Elephas maximus indicus: one gene and its partner. The main gene of each other region encodes a partner of the protein of the gene in region 2 in a complex. Links are inferred from orthologs where the notes say so. Each region holds a gene or a part of one and is shown on either strand. Other genes may lie near its edges. The genes, in order: YWHAB and PEAK3.

Region 1 (15,898 bases), on a different chromosome or scaffold from region 2:
ACTGTATATAATTTTTCCTTAAGAACTGTCTTTAGGCCTAATCTCCACATTGGTTGAGACTCCTATACTAATAGATACATGGGGGAAATTGGGATGGGTGTTTTTCTCAGTATCTGGGGCAGAGATGGTTAAGTGTTCCCTTATATGTATCTCTTTTTCTTTTGTAATGCAACAAGAAACTCCAGGGTTCCTAAAACATCAGGAAACAGGGCTATAAAACCTGCATAGCCCCTAAGAAGGTGAAATCTAATTTCTACCAAATATGCCCATGAGGATACTGGACAAGGAAGAGCCTCCCAAAGGACAGAGCCAGGGGCCATACAGGTCAGAGGGCAGGGACACCCCTCCTATAATGCAGGGACAATTCAACTGTCAGAGAAGGAGGTCTCTTGCAATTCCTGCCCAGTAAGCTTTAATAGTGAGCCAGCAATGGCCTTGGATTTCCCAGTCTCCCTTATACAGAGAAGAATCCTGTCCCAGCCCCAGTTATTGTGTTCCTATTCCACCATTGTATATGGGGTGTGCCGGGGGCAGGTAACTTTGTCTTTTTGTTCATAGGCCATCATACTAGAGGAGCCACCTCCAGATCTGATGGACAGGATTCATAACCTAGATATCCTGGACTTCGAATGGTATTTGGAGGTCAGCTCCCTTGTGTGGGAGAAAGACTGCATAAGGGCATACTGTAAACAAAACAATTTGTTGTCTCTCTATATCCTGCCTCCCCTTGTTCCATAGTTAAGAACCCACCATGTTTACCTAGGCTCATGGTCCCCTAGAATAAACACCAAATTGCACAGCCTCCCTTATAGCCAAGTGTGGCCATGTTACTGAGTTCTGTCCAAAGAGCTGTAAATTAGACAATCACATAGCAACTTCTAGAAAACGTCCTTAAAAGGCAGCTGGTTGTACCCTAATTCTCCCCCTTTTTTCATGGTCTTTTCCTCCTTCCTGCTGGCTGAGGTGCAGATGTGATGGCAGGAGCCAGAGCAGCCACTTTGGACCATGAGATGAGCTTGGAAATGGCAACTGCACAAAGTAACAAGATAGAAGGAGTCTAAGTCCTAGAAGTCTTCACGGTACAAATGACCAAATTGCCCCAAACCTCCTATCTCCAACTTTCACAGGAGAGGGGAAATAAAAGTTTCTAACTTGTTTGAGTCACTGATATTTGGCATCTCTGTTATTATTAGTCAAACCTAACCCTATCTGATACAATAACCAACTATTGAGGATTCATACTCTCTACAAGCAGTTGGAAAGAAACAGATCTTTTCTTTTGTTGTTGCTATTAGTAGCAATAAATTTTGCTGTTAGTACCAATAACACTAAAATTTTATGTTTGGAAGTGATTCAGTGTACTTGAAAAAAAAAAAAAGACTGGAGTTAGAAGACCCAAGTTCTAGTCCCATTTCTATAGCAAATTGTGTGCTCTTGCATAGTTCCCTCATCAGTAAAATGAACGTTTGGGAGAGGAAGTAGAATCACCAAAAAACATATAAAAAATTGCTTACCTTCTTCTATGGCAATAAGAGAAATGCAAATTAAAACAAGCAGATACAATTTCACACAGATCAGATTCACAAATTCAAAACGCCTTTTAATTCTAGGTGTTGATGTGGGTACGGGGAAAATCAGCATTTTGCTACAGTGTTGACGGGCATATTACTAGGTACAACCAATGTAATTTAACCACTTTTAATAAAGCTGAAAAATGTACACATTTTGTGATCTAGCAGCTCCACTTCTAAATATACATCCTAGAGACACTCCATGAGCTGCTCCAGGGTCTTCACTGCAGTGTTGAGCAAACAACCTGTAACATCAATGTGTGTTATAGAAATGCAATCAATAAATACATTGTGGTATATTCAGGCAATGGAGTAATGTCACAACAGTGAAAATCAACCAGATCGGTAAATCTAAATGTGTTAAGTCTTAAGAACTTAACGCTGCATGAAAAATGTGAAGAGCACAATGATCCACGCAATAAGATGGCATTCGTATAAAACTGTAAAGCCCACAAAGCAACTCTATGTATTGTTCATGGATATATACCCCAAAAAACCAACCCAGTGCCGTCGAGTCGATTCCAACTCATAGCGACCCTGTAGGACAGAGTAGAACTGCCCATAGAGTTTCAAAGGAGCGCCTGGTGGATTCGCACTTAACCACTACGCCGCCAGGGTTTCCATGGATATATACATATGTGGTAAAAATATTAAAACATGGTAGGAAAATATACATAACCAATCTCCTTGAGGAGAGAGGGAGAAGAACAAAGTAGGAAAGGATGTAAAAGTGATTTCAACTTCATTAGCAATTGTGATGATTAAAGTTGTGTGTCATCTTGGCTGGGCCATGATTCTCAGTGGTTTGCCATGATGTAGTTTGGCAGTTACGTAATGATGTAGTCATCCTCCATGATGTGCTCTGATGTGATCAGCCAGTGAATTGTAAGGGGAATTTCCTCAGGAGTGTGTCCTGCATCCAATATGTATATATGGATATTCTGGCAAAGTTCTCTTGCTTGCTCTGGATCCTCCATCTGGCTCGTCATCATCTGACCTTCAGTGCTTGGGACTTGAGTGAGTGACCTGCTGTACTGCCTGCCAGTCTTGGGGTTTGTCACTCTCTGCAGCCTGTGAGTCAGTGGCCTGCCATCGTACCTGGTGTCATGGATTGAATTATGCCCCCTAAAAATGTATCAATTTGGTTAGGCCATGATTCCCAGTATTCTGTGGTTGTCCTCTATTTTGTGATTGTAATTTTATGTTAAAGAGGATTAGGGCAGGATTGTAACACCCTTACCTGGTCACATCCCAGATCCAATGTAAAGGGAGTTTCCCTGGGGTGTAGCCTGCACAACCTTTTATCTCTCAAGAGATAAAAGGAAAGGGAATTTAGCAGAGGGGGGGTACCTCATAGCACCAAGAAAGCAGTGCCCGGAGCAGAGCGTGTCCTTTGGACCCAGGGTCCGTGCGTAGAGAAGCTCCTAGTCTGGGGGAAGATTGATGAGAAGGCTGACAAAGAGAGAAAGCCTTTCCCTGGAGCTGATGCCCTGAATTAAGATTTTTAGCCTACTTTAGTGTAAAGAAATAAATTTCTCTTTGTTAAAGCCATCCACTTGTGGTGTTTCTGTTATAGCAGCACTAGATGACTAAGACACCTGGTGATCTTGGATTCGCCAGCCTCTGCAGCCCGTGAGCCAGCTACCTGACCTGCTGATCTTGGGTTTGTCAGCCCCTGCAGCTATGTCAATCAGGAGAGGCCTCCAGCCTGAGCCTGACCCACAGACTTGGGACTTCAGCCTCTACAACCAAGAGAGCCATTTCCTTGAGATGAATCTAAATCTCTCTCTCTGTCTATATATATATATATATAATTGATATAATTGGCCTTCTATATCCATGGGTTCTGTATTGGCGGGTTCCAAACCTGTGGATTCAACCAACAGTGAATCGAAAATATTAAAAAAAAAAAGTGATGTGTAGGCATCCCCTGCTGTGCCTGCCAGCCATTTCACAGACCCTCAGTCTCTCTCCAGCACTTGGTATTTGAGCACCGTTCACCTCACGTCTGATGTGTACCATGTAGTTAGGCCTACAATGGTTGCGTCTGTACTGAAGATGTACAGACTTCTTTTTTCTTCTCATTTTTCCCTAAACAATACAGTATAACTACTTACATAGCATTTATATTGTATTAGGTATTATAAATAATCTAGAGATGATTTAGAGTATACAGGAGGATATGTGTAGGTTATATGCAAATTCTATGCCATTTTATAAAAGGGACTTGAGCATCATGGATTTTGGTATCTGTCAGGGGTCCTGGAACCAATCCCCCGTGGATACCAAGGGATGACTGTATATATACTTCACTGGTTTTGCTTGTCTAGAGAACTTAGCCTAAGACACTATGCAATAAAAATATATTATTTAAAATACAGCAGGTGTTTTCCTACTTAAATGCTAAAAAATATCGCTCTTAAAATACACACATAAACATCCAATAAACTAATGGTTCTTTTTGCCCAGCTGGTACTCCGAAGAAGGAGACTGGAGGCGGATCGTTCTGTGAACTTTCCAAGGCTAGAGAGGAAGTACTGAAGCGTGACAAGTCCTTGTCACTTTCTCTGCAGGTAGAAATTGTCAGAGCCTAGACACCTTGTAAAACTTATTTCTGGTTCAGCTATCATAAAATGGAAATGCAGATTCATAATATTTTTTTTTTTTTTACATTACTGGTGCCTACCTTTCCAATGACCTCATCTACATGAGAACAAAGGAGATTATAGGACCAAAATTCAGTTCTGTGAGTCTAGGAGAACTCTAGTACTCTTGACACAGCCTACCCTTTACCCTTGTCTGGCGAAGTTAATGTGAGGTATGGGAACTCCGTTTCTGATTACACTTACAGGTCTTTCTGAGTCAGGATCTCAGCCCTGTTTTATTAAAATGAAGTCAAAATTGGCATTATGGATACCAAAGACCTCATGCGTAGGTTATATGCAATATTATAACTCATGCCAGTTGCTATGTCAGACTACCACGAAATTTCAACTTCTTATTCAAACCAAACAATAGCCCTCCTGTCTTTGAAATTTACTTTTGACCAGAGTGAAAAGGGCCAGGCTCTCTGATTCAGTGCTTGGTCCCCAGCTTCCTATGTGCCAGGCAGTTACGGTGGTAGCACTAGGAGTGCCAGTAGCAGCCCCAACTTCTCAATCACAGCTATGGGGACTTCGAAACAAGTTTCCCCTGACGTCTGCTACTCTAGCAGCTCTGATGGTGCAGTGATTAAGCGCTTGGCTGCTAATTGAAAGGTTGGCAGTTTGAACCCAGCAGCTGCCTCGAGGGAAAAAGATGTAGCAGTCTGCTTCTGTGAAGATTTACAGCCTTGGAAACCCTGTGGGGCAGTTCTGCTCTGTCCTTTTGGTTGCTATGAGTCAGGATCAACTTGACCAACATGTCTGGTTTTGGGTTTTCTGCTACTACAGCTCTTCCAATTAGTTTGTAAGCATCTAATCCCCCTATTACATTCCTTTCTGCTTAAAATACCTACCATGGTTTCTGTTCCTGTATTCAGGACAGAACCTTGACTGGCGGCAGGTTTAAAAATAATATACAGAAAGTAGAGCCAAAGACAAAAGATGAAAAACAGAAGAAAGGAAAAAAGAATAATAAAATTAAAGAACCAGTTCAGACAGCCAAACATCTGAATAACTGAAGTTCCAGAAAGTGAAAATATAGAAAATGGGGACAGGAAGGGAGGGAATCGTCAAAGAAATATTTTACAACATCCCAGAACCAAAGGAAATGGGTTTTCATGCTGAAAAGATCACTGAGGAACAATTAGACAGTATGTGTCTCCTGATATGATGCCAGGGGAAATACACAGTCCCATGTATAAAATATTCGTACCAAAAAAATTGAAGCAGAATCTACTCAAGCCTCTAGATCTAAGTACCAGTCTACAAGACATATAAGAGATAGTGTAACATTCTAAAAACACCACTAGGGTCCAATCAGCCACATCTAAAAAAAAAAAAAACACATCTAGGCTATGAGAAACTCTGTAAAATAATTTACACAGTTTCTTCAACAAATAAATTATATAAGAAAAGGAGGAGGAGGGGAAACTACTACAGATTAAAAGAGATTTAGCAACCAAATGCAACATGAAGGCCTAGTTTAAATCCTGATTCGAATAAACCAACATAAAAAAGGTATTTCTGAGACAATCAGGAAAAAAAAGTAAGGAATTATTAATAATTTCCTTAAGTGTAATAATGGAATTATGCTTATGTTTTTTTTAAAAAAACTGATCTTTTAGAGCTACATACTAAGATATTTATGAATGCAATGATATGTTTGGGATTTGCTGTAAAATATTCCTGCCCCCTCCCCCGCAAAAATGTGAGAAATTGATAGAATAGTAAAATAAAGCTGGATTATGGATATACCTGGTGGTTTACTGTACTTTCTACTGTACCCTCTAGTTTTGTGTTTATTTGAAATTTATCATAATAAAAAGAAAAAGAAAGGAAGGAGGGAAGGAAGAAGAAAAGAAGAAAAGAAGGAAGGAAAAAGAAAGGAAATACACTAGCTGTCTCAAGTTTATTCTTATGAGACAAGCTACCAACTGAGAGAGTATCTTAAGAAACCATATATTCAACAAGAACCTAACAACAACCAAAATATATATAAAACTTCACCAATTTAACAACAGAAAGACAAATAACCCAACCACAGAATGGGCAAAGGACTTGAATAGACATTCTCCAGAGAGGACATTCAAGTGGCCATCAATCACATGAAAAGATGCTCAGCATCATTAGCCGTCAGAGATATGCAAATCAAAATCACAATGAGATACCATTTCACTCCCACTAGGATGGACAAGATAAAAGAAAAAAAAAACAGGAAACAACAAACGTTGGTGAGGATCTGGGGAAATTGGAATCCTTATCTATCATTGGTGGGGATGCAAAATGGTGGTGAGCTGGGTACCTACTAACTGTTGTAAAACCTTTTTCCTTTATGCAAAATGTTGCCACTTTTCTTTTTTAATACTGCCTTGGACTCAATAAAAAATCTTTGTGGAATTTAAGGCTCATGTATCACCTCTTTTAGCAAATCTTTCCTGATCTTCTAATATATCCCCAAACTTTACCCAGGCTTCTATAAGACCACGCACATATATATTTCCATGATTTTCATTTACCACATTATATTTTAATATCTCTTTTGTGTCCCTATCAGATAATACACTTTCAACTTTAAATTAAAAAAAAAAAATCTGCCACAAGGTGACTTAAACTTTAAGGAAATTTGTTATTTCACGTACGAGCAAGTCTAGAAAGACCGTAGTCTTTAAAAAAGGGTTGGTCAATTCAGAAGTTTATCACTGTTATCCAGTACGCAGATTCTACCGCTCTGTTCTGCATCATCATCAGGCTGCTAACAAGGAGGCAGCAGCATTTCCGAGCTTCATATTCAGACATAATAATGTCTGTTTTGGATTGGATTGTGTCCCCAAAAAAGATATGTTGAAGTCCTAACCCCAGTTACCTATGAATGTGACCTTGTTTGGAAACAGGATTTTTGAAGGTGTTATCAGTTAAATTAACATGAGGTCATACTGGAGTACCCAAAAACAAACACCCAGTACCCTCGATACTGGAGTAGGGGGGCTCTAATGCAATCTGAGTGGTGTCCTCTTTATACAACACATAAAGAGAAGAAACATAGACAAGAGGAAGACAACCATGTGACAATGGCACTATGCTACAGCTTCAAGCCAAGGAACTCCTGGGACTTCCAGAAGCTGAGCAAGACCAGAAAGGGTCTTCCTCTAGAGCCTTCGGAGAGCATGGCCCTGCCGACACCCTGAACTTGGACTGCTAGCCTCCAGAATTGCGAGACAATAAATTTCTGTTCTTATAAGTCATCCAATCTATGGTGCTTTGTTACATGGGCCCTAGGAAATGAATACCTTCACCGAAAACACAGTAAACTTTTTCCATAAAAGGCCAAATAGTAAAAAGACTTTATGTGCCATACTGTCTCTGTTGCAACAACTCTGCCTCTGTAACACCAAAACCGCCATCAACAATACGTAAACAAATGAGAAGGCCGTGTTGTAATAAAACCTTATTTACAAAAACAGGCGCTAGGTAGAATTTAAGGGAGCTTTTTTTTGGTGGCATAATCGTTTGGCTCTCAGCTGCTAGTCGAAAGGCTGGTGGTTTGAATCCACCGGCTGCTCCACGGAGAGAAGAGCCTTGGAAATTTGTTATTTTGATCTGTTCCTGTAAAGATTTCAGCCCAGGAAATCCTATGGGGCAGTTCTACTCTGTCCTATAGGGTCGCTATGAGTCGGAATCAACTCGATGGGCACACAACAGGTAGAATTTAGCCCATGGGCTGTTGTTTGCCCACACCTGGCCTTTTTGGGCCTAGAATGCAGAGCTGGTGAAAAGAGCTAATCCATGTAACATCTGCAGGCACCCAGGGATGCCCGGCAAAGGACACTTCTCTTCCCTCAAGGCACTGATGACGTCATTTGTGGGAGTAATCAGCTTGAGTCCTCTGGCCCACTAGGCTGTTTTCTGGATGGGGGCATGAGGTACAGTCATGTGACATTAACACTTCAATCTGAGCAGCCTCGGGATTACTGGTGTTTGGCTGCCAAAGACTGATCCCCAGAGAGGTTTTTCCACTAGGAAACCTCACTACGGTTCAAATTTAGAGGTTTTGAAGTTAAACCTACTCTGTGTACACCATACAACAGTGTAGAATGTGGGTAGTACAGGGGTCACTGACACAAATTCCTACAAAACAGGCAACATAAATGAGGAAAGCAGGCTCAGGTGGGGAGGGGACCCCTTGGAAAACCCATACGTAATATAGCAAGGGCACTCTTCGGCTTCAGCCAATTATTGCCACACAGAAATGTGGACCCAGAGCTGTCCAACAAGGAAGAAATGCCAATTTCCAAGTGAAATCTGTTTGTAAAAAACATTGGCAACTAATTCAAACTGTTTAGAAATACTGGACATGGCATACTGGAAGGATAAGAGGTCATCCGATAAAACTGGGGTGTTTCAGACGTGGAGAAATAGGAGGTAAAGGCTGAAAGTAAGGCAGCTTCTGGAGAAGGTTGATTGTCACACTAAAGGAGCTTACATATTGTCTTCTAGGTCTGAGCAGTCACCAAAAGATTTAAGCAAGGAAAGCACGCATTAGAACAGCATTTTAAAAATATCACTCTGGCAGTTGATGAGTGCATGGCTGGGTAATGAATTAGGTGGTTATCACTATAAAAAAAAGGGTAAAGGACATGGAGGACAGTACTATTCTGATACACATGGGGAACTGGTTAATTTTTTTTTTTTTTAAAGGAGAGACTTTGGAGGCCTACTTACTTTTTACCTTCTCCTACCCGACTGTAAACTCCCGTGTGTCTTATTCACTGCCACGTCCCCAGCGCTAAGCACAATACCTGGCAATATGGTAGGTGCTTGATAAATATTTGTTGAAAAAAATGAACAAGCGGGAGGGAACGCAGGCAAGAGGAGTTTTGAAGAACTGGGTTTAAGGGTCACCTGCCTCGGAGGAAGAGAATGTTGCGTGAGAGCTGTCAAGGGAGTTGCGAGCCTTGGGAGGCCCGTTTCCTTCTCTTAAGCTTCCTCCCCGAGCCTTGGGGAGGGATATCTCAGTGAAGCGATCGCACGCACTGCGACCTTCGCCATCGAAACCTGGCGCTTTACGTGGCCTCTTCCGTTTATGAAAGGGGGAATTAAGCACCTTGATAGGGTGAAGGGAGGATTAAGTGACAATTTAGGGGATGAGCAATTTCTGTTCTTCACTTGGTCCTGCCTTTTCAAAGCACACAGGAAAAAGGGATGGGCCTCAGCCTCCGACCTCGTGAGGATTACTTTGGGGTGGAGTGGGAACCGATGACTGGAGTCTCTGGGCTGGTCCAGGCGAATTCCCAGCCTAGGTAGAGAGAATAACCCTGATGCCCCCATTCCACCTAAACCCAGTCCCGTCTCCCTGTCCTTGTTCCCACAGATCCCTTTCTCCGACCCTCGCTCTCAGCTCCGCCCTCTACCCTCCCTCCCGCTTCTTCTTCCCGCGCCCCTCGCTTCCCCCCATTTCCGTCCCCTTCCCCTTCTTCCTCCGCGCTCCCACCCTAGGCCCACCGCACTTCCCCGCCCAGCTGCATCCCGCTCCCCTTCCTCCAGCCTCCAGCCAGTGCCCCTCCCGCGAGGCCGGTGCAACCCCGTGCCCCGCTCGCCCAATGACGAGACGGCGCAGGGGCGGGGAGGGGCTTGGGCCGGAGCGGAAGTGGCGACCGGAGCGGAAGTGGAGCTGCCGCCACCCGCCGCCGATTCCGGAGCCGGGGTAGCTGCCGCCGCCGCTGCCGTCGCCGCCTGAGAATTGGGGTTGGGAAGGAAGCGGTCATCGCGCTCTGAGCTTCGCTGGGAAGTGTCTTTGCTGCCTGCAGTCCTCCTACGGTGAGTGCGCGCCGGGTCCGCCCAAAGCCCCTGGGAACCCAAGCCTGAGGCTCCTTTTCGGCTCCGGCGGCCGCGCGGGTGGGCTCCGGCGAGAGCCGAGCGGCCTTCTAGGTCCCGCGCGGCCGCCTGCGGTGCGGGCCTGTTCTCACCGCGGCCCCTCCCTGCTTCCGGGGCCGGGCCCTTTGCCTCCTCGAGCGGCGCGGGCCTCCCTCGCCTCCTGCGGCCCTGCCCTGCCCTGGCGGCGGGGTGCGGTTCCATGCTGAGCCGGCCAAGACCGCCGACCGTGGACCCGGGGCCCTCCCTCTCCAGCTCCGATCCCCGCGCGACCCCTCCCTTCGCCGCAGGCGGCGAGAGCGGCCCCTTTCAGCTCTATCACCTCCTCCTCCCTGTTTTCCGGTTTCCAAAAATTGAGATATAACCAAATACGGGCGAGTTCTCGAGCCCCGGGGCCCGTGCATCACTCTCTTTGGATGAGTAAGGGGTTTAACCTTGGGAGACAGCGGGGGGGAAAACCCCCTCCCACTTTGCAGTAAAGCCATTTCATCGTCGTTCATTGGTTATGGAGCCTGGGAGGACCCGAGATTAACCCGGGAAGCACTGGGCTGAGGTTTTGAGTTAAGAAAATGCATTTGTTGGAACCGGTTACTGAGTTAGGTGGAATCCCCAGGGGGAAAAAAAAAATTATCAAAGGCTGGGAATCCAAGCATTTTCCCACAGCATTTACCTTCATTTAATGCTCAGGTATTTTGTGTCCTCCCCCGAAATTCCCCCATACTGTATGAGAGCATGTTTTTTGGTCTGAAATTTGCTTGGTGGCCTCCCTGGTGGTGAGGAAGGAGTGGACATGATTTGTGCCCCTTTTTTTCAGAAAATAAATACACCCTTGTCTATTGCAAATGGAGAACTCGCACGTAACGGGGCTTTCAAAGGTGGCAGTATTGGTAAGACAATTTGCCAACCTTTCGATAAAAATCATGTCTCTTGTGCTTGCCCTCACTGCATTTCTCTTTGTTAAGGCTAGGTAGCATCAAGCTCTGATTTTACTTGGCCTGTGTGGGAGATGGAATTTGGCAAGACGATGTCATGATCATAGAAAATCAGACAGCCACAGAAGCCAAAGCAGAAAGGTGAAGGGCTTGTAAGAATATGAAAATCGTCTGGACTTCTCTCTCTGTCTCAAATGTTCGGATGCAGTGTATAGAACATAACGCTGTTTATAGAATTGGATATGTATGCGGCTACTTAGCTTTTTGCGTTTTCCTTTTGGAAATTTATAAATATTAGTCCTTAATGAATTTTTTCTTGACTGCTTCTAGTACACCCATTTCTTTTTTGGGGATGGATATCAGTGGTCTGAGCCCCTCATTTTTCTAGAATTCATGCCCTTAGCAGCCCATGTTGTGGTGAGGGGAAAACCTATCGGTTTTACTGGACACAAGTGAGAATTTAAGTGTGGCTTTCAAAACGGAAGGCTGATGATCCAGTGGCAGCTGCTGAATTATTTTCCTAATCTTTCGTTTCAGTGAGATAAGAAACCATTCACTCATCTTACAGATGCAGTCTTTATGAAAAATGAGGCGATTTGGCCTAGGCCACACACCTAGTTTTTAGATTGAATATCCTCATTCATCGGTAGCAAATATTTATGGACTGTCAGTCCCAGGAGTATGGCTCCTACCCTATAATCTTCTGTACATTTCCCATCATGCAGTGCCTGTGTTAAGTTGAAGCCATTTTAGAATTGGAGCTCTATAGATCAGCTAGGCAGGCTCCATAAAACAGGCTGGGCAAATTCCCATGATGCTAGTTCCCTAGGCTGTGTCTCCGGAGATTTGGAACTGCAAAAAGTGCGTTTTGCCCATTTGGCTGTGTGGATACAGAAGCGAAAAGAGCAGTGAACCTGGAGTCAGAGAAATCTGATTCAGGTCTTGCCTGCAGCATTTTCTAGCTGTGTGAACTTCAGCTTATTACTTAAATCTCTGGTTCTTAGTTTCCCTATCTGCAGAGTTGCCATGAGGCATTTTTACAACCTGTAAATTGTTAAATATAAGCTTTTGGTTTTGTTTTTTAACCACAGTGTTCACTGCTAATGGCTTTTTTCTTCAGTTGTAACCTGATGAAACCGAACCCTCTTGTACACATGTTGCTTTCAAAAAATATTATTGTAGAACTTTATTTTGTATATACCATTTCTGGTCTTTCCGAGCCCATGTTCTCATCTGTACAACGGGAATGGTAATGTAGTCTTAGCTGGGTTGTTGCGGCGAATCCAATAATTAAAATAAGTATCTGGCACATAGTAGTAAGTGTTTGATGTTATTCGATCATGTATTCATGAACACAAACACACAGAAACATGTATGTAGGTAGATGTATGTATGCATTCCATCTATTTGGGATTTATTTATCAACCGATGAGGTAGCATCAGGCATAGCTACCGCTTATCACTTACAATGTGACAAGCTTTGCTGTAAGCACTTTACACATATAAACTCAGTCCTTATAACACCCAACAATAGATAACTCTGTTAGCCTCATTTTACAGAAGAGGAAACGCAGGCACAGAGAAGGTAAATAATTTTCCCAAGGTTACACAGATGGTAAGTGCTGGAGCCAGGAATCAAACCAAGGCAGTCTGGCTCCAGGGAATGATAGATTTCTAAGTGTGGTAGAACAACACATGCATTTTCTTCTTGTGAACACCGTTTAGTCCTTAGTTTTTCTCTGCATGTATTCTACTAAAATAGATGTGTTTGAACAGGAATTTTAACTATTTTTGAATATATAATTTATTGGGAGGAAATATCTCCACCCTAGGGAGCGCTGGTGGCACAGTGGTTAAGTGCTCAGCTGCTAACTGAAAGGTGGGCAGTTCGAATCCACCAGCTGTTCTGCAGGAGAAGGATGTACCAGTCTGCTCCCATAAAGATTATAGCCTTGGTAACCTTATGGAGCAGTTCTCCTCTGTTGTATAGGGTCTCTGTGAGTTGGAATCGACAAGATGGCGACGGGGTACGGGTATCTCCATCCTGGCGCGTAGGGATCCCTTAATACTGCTGGTGTACATTAGTAACAAGCCTGTGAAAAATCCAGTTTTTCTAGTACTTGCTTCATACTTAGGGAAAAAGCTCATCAGTTACTTTGTGGCACATGGATTTATCCATCCCTAGCTTCTTCATCTTAGGGAATTTGGTCAGGATCATCGTTATTTATTTCTGTTTATTATATTGCTTTCCCTGTAGACTTTTAGACTTCCCATATTTTGTTGAGGAGGAGGAGATGAGGGACTATATCTATGTAAGTAGAAAGCAAGTTCTAAATTATAACATCCTGTTATGCTGCCTGTTCTTTCATTGGCATCAAACTATGAGGATACCTGAGAGCACGAATTAAAATTTACTTGTAAAGGTGCTTTAAGTTCCTTGGTTTCTGTGTTTTTCTAAGGGAGGCGACAATTCACGCTAGCCCGGGTAAGAAATTACATAATAGCAACTTTCAGGCTTTGAAACCACTTGGCTGTCTACGTGAAGATGGTCCTGGTAGTCATCTACATGGAGCCCTGGTGGCGCAGCCCTGGGCTGCTAGCCAAAAGGTCGGCAGTTGAATCCACCAGCGACTCCTTGGAAATCCTATGGGGCAGCTCTACTCTGTCCTATAGGGTCGCTGTGAGTCGGGATGAACTCAGCCGCAACGGGTGTGGTTTTTTTGGTTTAGTCATCTACGCGTCATGATGGAGAAACTAGCAGTTGGAGCTGGAATCTGAGGGAATTTTTCTAAGGTTGATACTGGAGGAGGAAAATCAGACTAATGTGCAGTTTTTTGTAATATGTGTACTACAAACCACTCATCCTGCCGCTTTCTCAGCTAAAAGAACTCCAATCAGCATAGTTCATGTAGTTCTGATACTTGGAATGAGATGGAAATGATTGGTGGCCTATTTTGCCTCAAAAGAACAAGTCATTCTGAGCTGACTGTAGGTTAGGGAAGATGATTTAAAAAAAAAAAAAAAACTGGCTAGTCCTCTTATGTAAGTTTTTTCCTGTACTGATTAGTTTATTTCATTGTTTTTCCAAAGAGACCGGACAAGAAAAGTTATTTCTGAGTGTCCTTGATGCCTTGACGAGGACGAGGAGCCCTGGTGGTGCAGTGATTAATCGCTCGGCTGCTAACTGAAAGGTTGGTAGTTCGAACGCACCAGCTGCTCAGACGACGGAGAAAGATATGGCAGTCTGCTTCCGTAAACATTTACAACTTTAGAAACCCTACGGGGCGACTCTGCTCTGTCCTAGAGGGCCACTATGAGTCAGAGTCGACTCAGTGGCGACCAGTTTGGTGTTTGCTTTTGACCAGGGCAAAGAGATCAAAGGCTATAATAAAGTAGATATGAGCCCTCTCATTTGTTATTATTTGCCTTAAAGTTCGTTTGACAGTTTGATAAGTTTTTGGCATATGCTATTTTTAACTTAATTTTATTTTGGTTTTTTTAAGCTAGTTATACTAAAATTTCAACTGTAGTAACTTTACATGACTCTTGAAAAAATTGTCTAGTCCATCTTTTCCGTTAAGTAAGTATTGGAGTTATAATTGATGTTTAGGAAATAGTGAAGCATACAGGAAAGAGCATTAATTTTAAAATGAATGTTGTTTTAGATCCCAGCTCTGCTGTATGTGGCCGTGTGTCCCTGGGCAGGTTAACTCCTGGCATCTGTAATAGGGGTCTCCTTCTTAGATACTTAGGATTACATGAACTATTATAAACTCCTCAGTGCTTGGCACTTCAGGTGGATTTTAAATGGTGGATATTTTGGTTGTAATTATTTACTAAGCCAGTTAGCTGATATGACTTTCTGTATAGCTTAGTAGTTGGATTTTTTTTTTAATCATGGTAAAACATGTATAACATTTGCCATTTTAACCATTTTTGAGTGCATAATTCAGTGACACTAATTACCTTCATTGCTCTGTCCTCTTGGAAACCCTGGTGGTGTAGTGGTTAAGAGCCACAGCTGCTAACCAAAAGGTCAGCAGTTCCAATCCACCAGGCGCTGCTTGGAAACCCTATGGGGCAGTTCTGCTTTGTCCTATAGGGTTGCTGTGAGTCGGAATTGACTCGATGGCAACGGGTTTGTTTTCTTTTTTTAATTGCCTTCTTCATGTTGAGCAACCATCACCAAATGCTTTTCATCATCCTTAACCGAAACTGATTGGATTTTTGAATCTATAAATATAATGATTAGTAGCTGAGGAATATTAGTTTAAAAAAAAAAAAAAAAGAAGGGTAGCGTTGCCTCCTGATTAGAGCTGAGATGGCTCTTTTCAAAAAGGAGTCTAAGGCAGACAATAGATACAGTCTGTATTTTACAGATAAAATATGGTCTGCCTCTTTCTGTCTACACAGGAAAATCAGCCTTCTTCACCTTTAAAAAAAAAATGCATCAATTGATCAAATAGTTTATATTCAACGGGCAGGCATTGTGCTACACATTGGGTGTTCAAAGATGAAAGCCTGAGTCCCTGCCTTAAGCCCACAGTCCAGTGTGGGAGCCAACAGAAACGTTTGAAGTAAACTGTGATAAGCGTTATTTTATAAGTAGGCGTAGATAAGTTAACATGTGTGCTTTCTTTTAAAAGTCTCTAAAAAAAGCAGCCTGGATTTACAAGAAAATGAGGTACGTAATAAGCGTCCCTTAACTGGGGCTGACCATTTGTTCGTTAGCCTTTTGTATGCAATATACTGTGGCTGCCACTTGAGCTCTTACAGTGTGCGGAAACTGTATTAAATGTTTCGCTTCATGAACTCATTTACTCTTTCCAAGAACCCTATTAAGTAGATTGGCCTGTTTTATGGATGAAAAAACTGAGGCTCAAAG
Region 2 (15,340 bases):
TGCCCATCAGAAGACAATGGATAAACAAAATGTGGTACACACATACAATGGAATACTACTCAGCCAGCAGGAGAAATGAAGTCTTGATACGTGCTACAGTATGGATGGAGCTGGAAGACATTATGCTGAGTGAAATAAGTCAATCACAAAAGAACAAATATTATATGAACTCATATAAAAAGACAAAAACAGGCAAAGATACAGAGACCAAAGTTTCTTAGTGGCCACCAGTGGCAAGAAGGAAGGCAGAGGAGGGGTTATTGTTTATGAAGCACTGAGTTTCAGTTTACTGTGATGGATAAAATAGCATTAAGGATACAGCTGCACGGCCAATTAGTGTAACTGCTGTCAATAAGTTGTACACCCGTAAAAAGTTGAATTGGCAAAAGTTGTGTGATAGACATAGTTACAACAATGACCAAAAAAAAAAACAAGTAGGTACTGAGGCTGCTTATGTAGAACCAAACACCTCACGGGATTCGATTCCTTGGCTTGAAGGTTTAGGGTCATGGTTTCCTGAGACATCCCAGTTAATTGGCCTAGTAAAGCTTTTAGTGTTTCTGTTCTACTTCCCAGGTCATCGCTTAGGGCCTGGGATCTTAAAAACATGCAAGTGGCCACCCAAGGCACAACAATTGGTCTCTATTCGCCTGGAGCAACAGAGGAAGGAGGGGAGTCAGGAACAGGAGGAGGACAGAGAATGTGTGGCTAACTGGCTCCAGGAACAACTGCCTCCTTTGCCATGAGACCAGGAGAACTGGATGGTGCCTGGCTACCTTTACTGAACATTTTGATCAAGGATTCTATAGAGGAATCCTGATCAAATGCGGGAAAATGCAGAACAGAATTTCAAATTCTCATGGACTCCAGACTTTCTGGACCCGTGGAGATTGGATGAATCCCTGAAACTATTACCCTGAGATAATCTTTAAATCTTAAACCAAAAATATCCCCTGAAGTCTTCTTAAAACAAAATAGCTTGTGTCTGCCTTGAGCATTGTGCTCTTTTAAGATCTATGTATATGGGATCAAATTGACAACAGCAGCTGTAAAGATTAAATGGGAACCTTAGGAGGCAGTGAGCTTATGTTCACAGAAGAGGAACCACCCAGAAAAGGAGGGTGAGAATGATTGCACAACCTAAAGAATGTCATTAATGTCACTGAATTGTACATAGAGAAACTGTGAAGTTGGCCTATATTCTGCTGTGTATATTCTCAATGACAAAAACAAAATAAGTTATTAAAAAAAAAAAAGTATAAAGTACTTGTACTCCCCCATGCATCTGTCAGTTTGTTATACTGTGGGGACTTTCCTGTTTCTGTGATGCTGGAAGCTATGCCACCAGTATTCAAATACCAGCAGGGTCACCCATGGTGGACAGGTTTCAGCTGAGCTTCCAGACTAAGACAGACTAAGAAGAAGGAACCGGCAGTCTACTTCTGAAAAGCATTAGCCAGTAAAAACCTTATGAATAGCAGTGGAACACTGCCTGATATAGTGCTGGAAGATGAGCCCCCCAGGTTGGAAGGCACTCAAAATACGGCTGGGGAAGAGCTGCCTCCTCAAAGTAGAGTCCACCTTAATGACGTGGATGGAATCAAGTTTTTAGGACCTTCATTTGCTGATATGGCACCACTCAAAATGAGAAGAAACAGCTGCAAACATCCATTAATAATCAGAACCAGGAATGTACGAAGCATGAATCTAGGAAAATTGGAAATCGTCAAAAATGAAATGGAATGCATAAACATCGATATCCTAGCATTAGTGAGCTGAAATGGACTGGTATTGGCCATTCTGAATCGGACAATCATATAGTCTACTATGGTGGGAATGACAACTCGAAGAGGAATGGTGTTGCAGTCATCGTCAGAAAGAACCTTTCAAGATCTATCCTGAAGTACAACGCTGTCAGTGATAGGATAATATCCATACGCCTACAAGGAAGACCAGTTAATACGACTATTATTCAAATTTATGCACCAACCAGTAGGGCCAAAGATGAAGAAATAGAAGATTTTTATCAGCTGCTGCAGTCTGAAATTGATCGGACATGCAATCAAGGTGCATTGATAATTACTGGCGATTGCAATGGGAAAGTTGGAAACAAAAAAGGAGTGGTAGTTGGAAAATATGTCCTTGGTGACAGAAACCATGCCAGAGATCAAATGATTGAATTTTGCAAGACCGACAACTTCTTCATTGCAAATACCTTTTTTCAACAACATCAATGGTGACTATACACAGGAATCAAATCAACTACATCTGTGGAAAGAGTTGAAGGAAAAGTCCAATATCATCAGTCAGAACAAGGCCAGGGGCTGACTGTAGAACAGACCATCAATTGCTCATATGTAAGTTCAAGTTGAAACTGAAGAAAATTGGAACAAGTCCATGAGAGCCAAAATATGACCTTGAGTATATCCCACCTGAATTTAGAGACCATCTGGAGAATAGATTTGATGCACTGAACACTAATGACCGAAGACCAGTCGAGTTGTCAAATGACATCAAGGACATCATACATGAAGAAAACAAAAGGTCATTAAAAAGACAGGAAAGAAAGAAAAGACCAAAATGGATGTTAGAAGAGACTCTGAAACTTGCTCTTGAATGTTGAGTAGCTAAAGCAAAAGGAAGAAATCATGAAGTAAAAGAGCTGAACAGAATATTTCAAAGGGCAACTCCAAAAGACAAAGTAGTATAATGACACGTGCAAAGACCTGGAGATAGAAAACCAAAAGAGAAGAACAGGCTCAGTATTTCTCAAGCTGAAAGAACTGAAGAAAAATTTCAAGCCTCAAGTTGCAATAGTGAAGGATTCTATGGAGAAAATGTTAAATGATTCAGGAAGCATCAAAAGAAGGTGGGAGGCAAGAAGATAAAATACTTAGGAATAAATCTTACCAAGGATGTAAAAGACCTATACAAAGAGAACTACAAAGCTCTACTACAAGAAATTCAAAAGGACATACTTAAGTGGAAAAACATACCCTGCTCATGGATAGGAAGACTTAACATAGTAAAAATGTCTATTCTACCAAAAGCCATCTATACATACAATACAATTCCGATCCAAATTCCAATGTCATTTTTTAAGGTGATAGAGAAACAAATCACCAATTTCATATGGAAGGGAAAGAAGCCCCGGATAAGCAAAGCACTACTGAAAAAGAAGAAGAAAGTGGGAGGCCTCACTCTACCTAATTTCAGAACCTATTATACAGCCACAGTAGTCAAAACAGCCTGGTACTGGTACAACAACAGACACATAGACCAATGGAACAGAATTGAGAACCCAGATATAAATCCATCCACATATGAGCAGCTGATATTTGACAAAGGACCAGTGTCAGTCAATTGGGGAAAAGATAGTCTTTTTAACAAATGGTGCTGGCACAACTGGATATCCATTTGCAAAAAAATGAAACAGGACCCATACCTCACACCAAGCACAAAAACTAACTCCAAGTGGATCAAAGACCTAAACATAAAGACTAAAACGATAAAGATCATGGAAGAAAAAATAGGGACAACCCTAGGAGCCCTAATACAGGGCATAAACAGAATACAAAACATTACCAAAAATGACGAAGAGAAACCAGATAACTGGGAGCTCCTAAAAATCAAACACCTATGCTCATCTAAAGACTTCACCAAAAGAGTAAAAAGACCACCTACAGACTGGGAAAGAATTTTCAGCTATGACATCTCCGACCAGCGTCTGATCTCTAAAATCTACATGATTCTGTCAAAACTCAACCACAAAAAGACAAACAACCCAATCAAGAAGTGGGCAAAGGATATGAACACACATTTCACTAAAGAAGATATTCAGGCAGCTAACAGATACATGAGAAAATGCTCTCGATCATTAGCCATTAGAGAAATGCAAATTAAAACGACGATGAGATTCCATCTCACTCCAACAAGGCTGGCATTAATCCAAAAAACACAAAATAATAAATGTTGGAGAGGCTGCGGAGAGATTGGAACTCTTATACACTGCTGGTGGGAATGTAAAATGGTACAACCACTTTGGAAATCTATCTGGCGTTATCTTAAACAGTTAGAAATAGAACTACCATACAACCCAGAAATCCCACTCCTCGGAATATACCCTAGAGAAACAAGAGCCTTCACACAAACAGATATCTGCACACCCATGTTTATTGCAGCTCTGTTTACAATAGCAAAAAGGTGGAAGCAACCAAGGTGTCCATCAGCGGATGAATGGGTAAATAAATTGTGGTGTATTCACACAATGGAATACTACGCATCAATAAAGAACAGTGACGAATCTCTGAAACATTTCATAACATGGAGGAATCTGGAAGGCATTATGCTGAGCGAAATCAGTCAGAGGCAAAAGGACAAATATTGTATAAGACCACTATTATAAGATCTTGAGAAATAGTATAAACTGAGAAGAACACATACTTTTGTGGTTACGATGAGGGGAGGGAGGGAGGGAGGGAGGGAGGGAGAGGGTTTTTTACTGATAATTAGTAGATAAGAACTGCTTTATGTGAAGGGAAGGACAACACTCAATACATGGAAGGTCAGCCCAATTGGACTGGACCAAAAGCAAAGAAGTTTCTGGGATAAAATGAATGCTTCAAAGGTCAGTGGAGCAAGGGCGGGGGTTTGGGAACCATGGTTTAAGGGGACTTCTAAGTCAATTGGCCAAATAATTCTATTATGAAAACATTCTGCATCCCACTTTGAAATGTGGCGTCTGGGGTCTTAAATGCTAACAAGCGGCCATCTAAGATGCATCAATTGGTCTCAACCCACCTGGAGCAAAGGAGAATGAAGAACACCAAGGCCACACTACAACTAAGAGCCCAAGAGACAGAAAGGGCCACATGAACCAGAGACCTACATCATCCTGAGACCGGAAGAACTAGTTGGTGCCGGGCCACAATCGATGACTGCCCTGACAGGGAGCACAGCAGAGGACCCCTGAGGGAACAGGAGATCAGTGGGATGCAGACCCCAAATTCTCACAAAAAGACCAAACTTAACGGTCTGACTGCGACTAGAGGAATCCTGGTGGTCATGGTCCCCAAACCTTCTGTTGGCACAGGACGGGAACCATCCCCGAAGACAACTCATCAGACATGAAAGGGACTGGACAGTGGGTGGGAGAGAGATGCTGATGAAGAGTGAGCTAATTATATCAGGTGGACACTTGAGACTGTGTTGGCATCTCCTGTCTGCAGGGGGGATGGGAGGATAGAGAGAGAGGGAAGCTAGCAAAATTGTCACAAAAGGAGAGACTGGAAGGGCTGACTCATTAGGGGGAGAGCAAGTGGGAGTAAGGAGTAAGGTGTATATAAACTTATATGTGACAGTCTGACTTGATTTGTAAACGTTCACTTGAAGCTCAATAAAAGTTAATAATAAAAAAAAAAGAAGGTGAGAGGAAGACACAGAGTGACTATACTAAAAATAATTGGTAGATGTCCAGCCAGTTCAAGAGGTAGCATATGAGCAGAACTTGATGGTACTGAAGGAAGAAGTCCAAGCTGCACTGAAGGCATTGGGGAAACACAAGGCTCCAAGACCTGATGGAATATCAGTTGAGATGTTTCAACAAACAGATGCAGAGCTGAAAGTGCTCACTCATCTGTGCCAACAAATTTCGAAGACAGCTTCCTGGCCAACTGACTGGAAGAGATCCATATTTATGCCTATTCCCAAGAAAGGTGATCCAACCGAATGCGGAAATTACCGAACAATATCATTAATATCACATGGGAGTACAGTTTTGCTGAAGATCACTCAAAAACGGCTGCAGCAGTGTATCGACAGGGAACTGCCAGAAATTCAGGCCGGTTTCAGAAGAGGACGTGGAACTATGGATATCATTGCTGATGTCTGATGGATCCTGGCTGAAAGCAGAGAATACCAGAAGGATGTTTACCTGTGTTTTATTGACTATGCAAAGGCATTCGACTGTGTGGATCATAACAAATTATGGGTAACATTGTGAAGAATGGGAATTCCAGAACACTTAATTGTGCTCATGAGGGATCTGTACATAGACCAAGAGGCAGACATTGGAACAGATCAAGGGGATACTGTGTGGTTCAAAATCAGGAAAAGTGTGTGTCGGGGTGCATGCTTTCACCATACTTACTCAATCTGTATGCTGAGCAAATAATCCGAGAAGCTGGACTATACGAAGAAGAACGGGGCATCAGGATTGGAGGAAGACTCATTAACAACCTGCGTTATGCAGATGACACAACCTTGCTTGCTGAAAGTGAAGAGGACTTGAAGCACTTACTGATGAAGATCAAAGACCACAGCCTTCAGTATGGATTACACCTCAACATAAAGAAAACAAAAATCCTCACTAGACCCATAAGTAACATCATGATAAATGGAGAAAAGATTGAAGTTGTCAAGGATTTCATTTTACTTGGATCCACAATCAACAGCCGTGGAAGCACCAGTCGAGAAAGGAAAAGATGCACTGCATTGGGCAAACCTGTTGCAAAGGACTGCTTCAAAGTGTTGAAGAGCAAAGATGACACCCTGAAGACTAAGGTGCGCCTGACCCAAGCCATGGTATTTTCAATGACATTATATGTGTGTGAAATCTGGACCATGAATAAGGATGACCGAAGAAGAATTGACGCCTTTGAATTGTGATGTTGGTGAAGAATGTTGAACATACCGTGGACTGCCGAAAGAACGAACAAATCTGTCTTAGAAGAGATACAACCAGAATGCTCCTTGGAAACAAGGATGGTGAGACTCTGTCTCACATACTTTGGACATGTTGTCAGGAGGGATCAGTCCCTGGAGAAGGACATCATTCTTGGTAAGGTAGAGGGTCAGCCAAAAAGAGGAAGACCCTCAACAAGATGGAGTGACACAGTGGCTGCAACAATGGGCTCAAGCATAACAATGGTTGTGAGGGTGGCGCAGGACCGGACAGTGTTTCGTTCTGTTGTGCACAGGGTCGCTATGAGTCGGAACTGACTCGACGGTGCGTAACAACAACAACAATCTTTACAGATCGTCAGTTCTTTCTCCCATGGAGCTGCTGCGTGAATTTGAACCACCGACCTTTCAGTTAGCAGCTGAGTGCTTAACCATTGTGCCATCAGGGCCCCTTCTGCCCGTGGTAACCACCAATAACTTTGGCCTGCTCGCTTTTGCCTATTCTGGATATTTCCCAGAGGTGGGATCCTACAATATTTGTCCTTTTGTGTCTGGCTGTTTTCACTCAGCGTCATGTTGTCAGGTGAACCATTCACTTCCGGGTCTCTCCCAGTCTCTTCCTTCTGCCTGGAATGCTGTTCCTTCTGCTTCCTGCCCTGTGAGGGCAGGTGGGGGTGTGGGCCCCGGGCTGGGGAAGTACTGCAAAAAGGGCCCCGCCCTCCCCCTGGGCCTTGGCCCGCGGTCAAACCGTTGCCCAGATGTTTCCCGTTCTCGACATCGGGCAGACATCCCTGAGGCCACTGGTTGCAGCTGCTGGAAGTTGGCCCTAAGGACCGCCCCCCCACCGGCTGGTCACTTGAAACCTGTTCCAGGCTCCTGTCCTGAGGTAGGGGGCTCCTGGGGGGGTGGGCTGCGGTAGGGAATGGCAGAACGGGCAACTTTCTCAATCTGGGGTGAGCTGGAGTTGGGGGGTGGGTGCCTCCCTTCGTGGCCCACCCCCAGCTGTCCTCTGGCAGCCTGGCCTCGGTGCTGCCGTCCGTCCATGTCCCTGGAGGCTGATGGTGACATTGTCACACATGCAGAATGACCCCAGAGTGGCTACAGAGCCACCCAGGGTGCCACAGCAGGGTAAGGGGGCAACAGGAGCCAGAGTTAGGGTCTCGTACTCTCACCTAGGGCCCTGTCTCTCCCTCCATGAACCTTGCTCACATCCACCTGCATGCACCCACGGACACCCTGCACACACCCACTCCTATGCGCCCCAACTCCAACTTTCCCCTGCAGCATGAGCAGCCCCGAGCCACCCGCCGAGACCCTCGCGCCCGACATCCCCACCTGGTCAAAGGAGCCCACGTACAGCAATCTGGGTGAGTGACTTAGAGGTGGCTGGGCGCAGCAGGGTGGGGCCACCCACTTGTAGAAATGAAACCGGGGCTCAGAGAGGGGCAGTCACACAGGAAAATGGGGTTACCTGGCGCTAGGCAGGGCCTGTCGCTCCGTGAGCCTCAGCTTCCTCATCTGCACACTGGGGATGGCATCCAGTGCCACCGTAACAAACTCCGTAAGTGGTGGCTTTAACGCACAGAACTGGGGGAAGGCTTTCTCTCTCTGTTGGCCCTGGGGGAAGGTTCCGGTCTTCAGCTTGTTTCCTGGTTCCCTGGAGATCTCTGTGTGGCTTGGCATCTTCCCCCATCTCTGCTTGCTTAACCTGCCCTTCTGTATTTCGTAAGAGATTGACTCAGTAAACACCCTCCACTAACCCTGCCTCATCCGGATAACAAGACAACCCATTCCCAAATGGGATTATAACCACAGGAGTAAAACCAAAAACCAAACCCATTGCCCTAGAGTTGGATCCAACTCATAGTGACCCTACAGGACAGAGTAGAACTGCCCCACAGGGTTTCTGAGGAGTGGCTGGTGGATTCGAACTGCCAACCTTTTGGTTAGCAGCTGAGCCTTTAACAACTGCACCACCAGGGCTCCAACCACAGGCATAAAAAAACCTGTTGCCATCAAGTCGATTCTGACCCATAGGGACCCTACAGGACAGAGAGGAGCTGCCCCATAGTGTTTACAAGGAGTGGCTGTTGGATTCAAACTGCTGACCTTTTGGTTAGCAGCCAAGCTCTTAACCACTGCACCACCAGGGCTCCAGCCACAGGCATAGAGGTCAGGATTTACCACACTTATTTTGGGGGGACACTATTCAATCCATAACACCTGCATTTCCTGGGGCTTCTGTAACGAGGTACCACACACACTGGGGGGCTTGAAACAACAGATTTGCTCTGTCTTCATTCTGGAGGCCTAACATCTGAAGTCAAGGTGTCGGCAGGGTTGTGCTCTCTCTGAAGGCTCTAGGGAAGGGTCCTTCCTTGTCTCTTCCAGCTTCTGGTGGCCTTGGGCGTTCCTGGACTTGTGGCTGCATCACTCCAGTCTCTGCCTCTGTCCTCACGTGGCCGTCTGCCCTCTGTCCGTATTTCTTTCTCCTTTCTCTAGTTAAGACAATAGCCATTGGATTTAGGGCACACCCTAGTCCAGGAGGAGTCTGCTTAATGCGCTTGGCTGTTAACCAAAAGTTTGGAGGCTCAAGTCCACCCAGAAGAAAGGCCTGGCAATCTACTTATGAAAACCCTGTGGGGCACGGTTCTATTCTGACACACGTGGGGTCACCATGAGTTGTAACTGACTAGACAATGACTGTTTTTTTGGTGTTTTTCTACTTTAGTCTGACCCCATTTTTAACTTAATTAATGATGTCCACCAAGACCCTGTTTCCAAACTAGGTCATGTTCACAGGTACTGGAGTTTAGGACATCAGCATGTCTTTTGGGAGGACACAGTTCAGCCCAGAACACCATCCCTACCCCATGGGGCATGGGGGAGTCACATACCATTATGATTCCCATTTTAGAGGTGGGACCATCGAGGCCGAGGGGCTGAGTCAGGTGTCCTGGGTCCCACACACCTGACATCCTCACAGCCCTCCCTCTTCCACAGGTGAGATCCGCACCCACCTGTTACCCTCCAAGGCCTGCCGCCTCCGAGCACTTGGGTCCCCCTCGGATGACCTGAAGCCCCCACCCCTGCCCAAGAAGACCCTTACTCGAACCAAGTCCCTGCCCACCTACGGGACCCCTGGCCCCAGCCCTGCCCACGCCAGGCAGCCTCGGAGGCCCCTCCTGGGGTCCCGCAGCGTGGACAAGAGCCAGGAGGCTGAAAACAGGGTCAGCCCAGCCAGTTTCCTCGAAGAGCTGACCTTCAGCACGCCGGACACTGAGCTGGGCTGCTTCTTCCAAGACCTGAACAACCTGGAGGCAGTGCACGACACACTCGCCGCCCGGCAGCTGGCCAGTCTCAGCACCATCCATGCCCGTCTCCACACCCGGCTCTTGGGGGGCCACCCTGGGCCCTGCAACCCCAGCCACAGCTTCCGCCTTCTGGACGACTCACCCTACGTGGACAGCGGGGACGCCATCTACTACCGCGTGGTTCGCGTGAACAAGGACGCCTGGCACATCCTGGCCGCCAAGGTGAGCACAGGCTACCCCATGCTGGGGTGGCACCCAGCTTTGCCTCACCCCCAATTTTCCATCTTAGGCACAACCCATAACCCATGTTCAAAAAAAAAAAAGAATTGCCATCAAGCCGACTCCGACTCATGTTCTCTTACAAGGACTCCACTCATACTGGAAAGGTTATAGGTTTGAGCTCATCCAGAGACACTCAGAAGAAAGGGCTGCCAATCTACTTCAAGAAAACTGAGCCACTGAAAACCCTATGGAATGGACTTCTACTCTAACATGCGTGGGGTTGTCATGAGTTGGAGTTTGGTTTTCCTATTGGATTTGGGGCCCCCCTGCCTACAGTATGACTTCAAGTTAGCTGATAAAATTTTCAAAGACGTTATTTCCAAACAGGGTCGTGTTCACAGGTACTGGGGTTAGGATTTCAGCCTATCTTTTTTGGGGGGACACAATTCACCCCATAACAAATACCCACACCCAGAACCCCACCCTAGCAGCTATCATTTTTAAATGCCACCTCCAGGTGATTCTAACGTAATCCCCAGAGCTGATGTCCTCTTGACCTTCTAGAGCTTCGCTATCCAGTGCCAAGGTCCCTGACCACACGTGGCTGTGGCTATGGAACACTTGAACTGTGATCTGTCGGCATTGAGATATATGATAAATTGAAACTACACATGAGATCTCAGAGACTTAGTGAAAAAAAAAGAAAGAAAGAAGGGAGAGGGAGGGAGGAAGATAGGGAGGAAGGAAGGAGGGAAGAAAGGAAGGGAGAAGAAGAATGTAAAACAGCCCATTAATAAGCCTGCTTGCTAACCAGAAAAGGTCGGCAGTTTGAACTCACCCAGCAGCTCTGCAGGAGAGAGTCTTGGTGATCTGCTTCCATAGAGATTTTAGCCGACAGGAGCTCCAAGTCCATCAGATGGGAAGAAGACAGCCTTTTGAACAAATGGTGCTGGCAAAACTGGATGTACATCTGCAAAAAAATGAAACAGGACCCGTACCTCACACCATAGACACAAAAACTAATTCAAAATGGATCAAAAACCTAAATATAAAGCCAAAAACTATAAAATTGATAGAAGAAAAAATAGGATCAATGCTAGAGGCCCTAATACACAGCACTAACAGGATACAAGCCATAACCAACAACACACACACTCCAGAAGATAAGCTAGATAACTGGGATCTTCTAAAAATTAAACACACTCATCAAAAGGTTCACCAAAAGAGTAAAAAGAGAACCTATAGACTGAGGAAACAGTTTTTGACTATTACAGATCAGACAAAGTTCTAATCTCTAAAATCTACAGGAAAATCCAACACCTCTACAGCAAAAAGACAAATAACCCAATTGAAAAATCGGCAAAGGAAATGAACAGACACTTCACCAAAGAAGACATTCAAGTGGCCAACAGGCAGATGAGGAAATGCTTGCGATCACTAGCCATTAGAGAAATGCAAATCAAAACTACGATGAGATACCATCTCACCCCAGCATTACCAGCACGAATCAATAAAACAGGAAATAACAAATGTTTGAGAAGCTGCTGAGAGATTAGAACTCTTATGCACTGCTGGTGGGGATACAAAATGATACAACTATTGTGGAAAATGATATGGCACTTCCTTACAAAGCTAGAAATAGAAATATCATATGATCCAGCAATCCCACTCCTAGAAATATATCCTAGAGAAATAAGAGTTGTCACACGAATAGACATACGCACACCCATGTTCATTGCAGCATTGTTCACAATAGCAAAAAGAGGGAAACAACCTAGATGCCCATCAGGAGGTGAATGGATAAACAAACTATGCTACATACACATGATGGAATATTATGCAACGATAGAGAACAATGATGAATCTGCAAAGCATCTCACAACATGGACGAATCTGGACGGCTTTATGCTGAGTGAAATAAGTGATCATGAAAGGACGAATATCGTATGAGACCACTACTGTAAAAACTCATGAAAAGTTTTACATGCAAAAAGAAATAATCTTTGATGGTTACAAGGGAGGGGATGGACGGGGGGGATGGAAAAACTCTAAATGGACAATAGATAACTGGTAACTTCGGTGGCTTTTATTGACTATGTAAAGTCATTCGACTGTGTGGATCACAACAAAGTACAGATAACATTGCAATGAATGGGAATTCTAGAACACTTAATTGTGCTCATGAGGAATCTTTACATAGATCAAGAAGCAGTCATTTGAACAAAACAAGGGGATACTGCATGGTTTAAAGTCAGGAAAGGTGTGCTTCAGGGTTGTATCCTTTCATCATACCTATTCAATCTGTACGCTGAGCAAATAATTTGAGAAGCTGGACAATATGAAGAAGAATGGGGCATCAGGATTGGAGGAAGACTCGTTAACAACCTGTGTGATGCAGATGACACAACCCTGCTTGCTGAAAGCGAAGAGGACGTCAGCCTTCAGTATGGCCTACACGTCAACATAACCAAAACAAAAATCCTCACAGCTGGAGCAACATCACGATAAACGGAGAAAAGACTGAGGTTGTCCAGGGTTTCATTTTACTCGGATCCACAATCAACAGCCATGGAAGCAACAGCCAAGAAATCAAAGGACGCATTGCATTGGGCAAATTGACTGCAAAAGACCTCTTCAAGGTGTTGAGAAGCAAAGACGTCACCTTGAGGACTAAGGTGCCCCTGACCCAAAACACAGTGTTTCCAATTGCCTCATACGCACGTGAAAGCTGGCAATGAATAGGGAAGACTGAAGAAAAGCTGACGCCTGTGAATTATGGCGCTGGCAAAGAATACTGAATATACGATGGACTGCCAAGAGAACCAACAGATCTGTCTTGGAAGAAGTACAGCCAGAACGCTCCTTCAATTGAGGATGGTGAGACTTTGTCTCACAAACTTTGGATGTATCGTAAAGAGGAACCAGTCCCTGGAGAAGGACATCATGCTTGGTAAAGCAGAGGGTCACCGAAAAAGAGGAAGACCCTCAAGGAGATGGATTGGCACGGGAGTTGCAACAGTGGCCTCCAGCATAGCAACGATTGTGATGGCAAAGGACCGGGCAGTGTTTTGTATTGTTGTGCACAGGGTTGCTATGAGTTGGAACCGACTCAACAGGACCTAACAATAACAACTTTGGTGAAGGGTAAGACAGTACACAATACTGGGGAAACCAGCCCAACTTGTACAAGACAAGGTCATGGAAGCTCCATAGACGCATCCAAACTCCCTGAGGTAGAGAATTGCTAGGCTGAGGGCTGTGGGGACCGTGGTCTCGGGGAACATCTAGCTCATTTAGCATAACATAGTTTATAAAGAAAATGTTCTACATTCTACTTTGGTGAGTGCCATCTGGGGTCTTAAAAGCCTCTGAGCGGCCATCTAGGATACTCCACTGGTCTCAACCCTTCAGGAGCAGGGGAGAATGAAGAAAACTAAAGATACGAGGGAAAGATCAGTCCAAAGGACTAATGGACCACAGCTACCATGGCCTCCACCAGTCTGAGTCCAGTACAACTAGATGGTGCCTGGCTACCACCACTGACTGCTCTGACAGGGATCACAATAGAGGGTCCTGGACAGAGCAGGAGAAAAATGTAGAGCAAGATTCTATCTCACAAAAAGAGACCAGACTGACTGACCTGACAGAGACTGGAGAAACCCTGAGAGTATGGCCCCCGGCACCCTTTTAGCTCAGTAATGAAGTCACTCCTGAGGTTCACCCTTCAGCCAAAGCTTAGACAGGCCCATAAAACAAAACGAGACTAAAGGGGCACACTGGCCCAGTGGCAAAGACTAGAAGATAGGAAGGGACAGGAAAGCAAGTGAGGAACCCAAGGTTGAGAAGGGAGAGTGTTGACATGTCGTGGGGTTGTCAACCAATGTCATAAAACAATGTGTGTTTTACTGTTTACTGAGAAGATAGTTTGTTCTATAAACCTCATCTAAACAACAACAAAAAAAAAGTCAAGTGAAATTAAAAAAAAAAAAAGGTTACAGCCTAGAAAACCCCATGGGGCAGTTCTACTCTGTCACATGGGGTCACCACGAGTCAGAATCAACTTGACAGCAACTAACGACAATAATGAGCCATTGAAATGATAATATTTTGGACACATTGGGTTCAGTAAAATATACTAAATTACTTTCACCTGTTTTTCTTCACTTTTTTTTAACGTGGTTACTGGACAGTTGTAAACCGTATGTGTGGCTGCGTTGTCTATCCATCGGACAGCCCGGCGCTGGTACAGGAGCTGCTGGGCCCCTCGCTCCCAAGCAATCAGCAACGACCCACCCCTTGGCCAGCAGGAAACTGTGACCTGCTAGCCACCCCCTTCCCTGGCTGAAAACACCAGTTGCCGGGGAGCTGACCCCAACTCATGGCGACCTCACGTGTATCACAGTAGAACTGTGCTCCACAGGGTTTCCAGTGGCTGCTTTTTTGGACGTAGATTGTCAGGCCTTTCTTCTGTTGCACTCTGGATTGACATGAACTTCCAACCCTTGGGTTAGCAGCTGAGTGTGTTAACTCGGTATCCCAGGGGCTCCCTCCCTAGTTCGCATGCACACACACACACACACACACACACACACACATACACAAACCCATTGCTGTCGAGTCGATTCCAACTCATAGTGACCATATAACACAGAGTAGAACTGTCCCAAAGGGTTTCCAAGGCTGTAATATTTATGAGGAAACCCTGGTGACATAGTGGTTAACTGTTAAGGCTGCTGACCAAAGGGTTGGCAGTTCAAATCCATGAGGAGCTCCTTGGGAACTCTATGGGGCAGTTCTACCCTGTTCTATAGGGTTGCTATGAGTCTTGAGACTTGACTTGATGGCAACGAGTTTTTTTTAATTTTTTTAATTTTAATATTTATGGATCTGCTGCAAGAGACCTTTTTTAAAGTGTTAAGATGTCACTTTGAGGACTGAGGTGAACCTGACCCAAGCTGTGGTGTTTTCAATCACCTCATATGCATACAAAAGCTGAACAATGAATAAGAAAGACCTAAGAATTGACGCCTTTGAATTATGGTGTTGGCAAAGAATATTGACTATACCATGGGCTGCCAACAGAAAGAAACAAATCTGTCTTGGAAGAAGTACAACCTGAATGC

The links.
Region 1: the proteins of PEAK3 (region 2) and YWHAB are in contact, whole or in part, in a cryo-EM structure (PDB 8DP5), measured with the Homo sapiens proteins. The link is inferred for Elephas maximus indicus from reciprocal best matches to the Homo sapiens genes PEAK3 and YWHAB. Residues at the interface, in NP_940934.1 of Homo sapiens: Arg66, Thr67, Gln68, Ser69, Leu70, Pro71, Thr72, Arg73; in NP_003395.1 of Homo sapiens: Val48, Lys51, Asn52, Arg58, Lys122, Arg129, Tyr130, Gly171, Leu174, Asn175, Val178, Glu182, Ile219, Leu222, Asn226, Leu229, Trp230.

What each region holds. Positions count from the first base shown.
Region 1 is NC_064843.1:24,486,475-24,502,372, reverse strand, and holds the start of YWHAB (14-3-3 protein beta/alpha), read left to right. Parts: upstream 1-9,868; 5' UTR 9,869-10,027; intron 10,028-14,118; exon of another isoform or gene 14,119-14,204; intron 14,205-15,898. UniProt on the Homo sapiens protein: Adapter protein implicated in the regulation of a large spectrum of both general and specialized signaling pathways. Binds to a large number of partners, usually by recognition of a phosphoserine or phosphothreonine motif.
Region 2 is NC_064821.1:3,060,981-3,076,320, reverse strand, and holds the start of PEAK3 (protein PEAK3), read left to right. Parts: upstream 1-7,478; 5' UTR 7,479-7,567; intron 7,568-7,965; 5' UTR 7,966-7,966; coding exon 7,967-8,048; intron 8,049-9,684; coding exon 9,685-10,217; intron 10,218-15,340.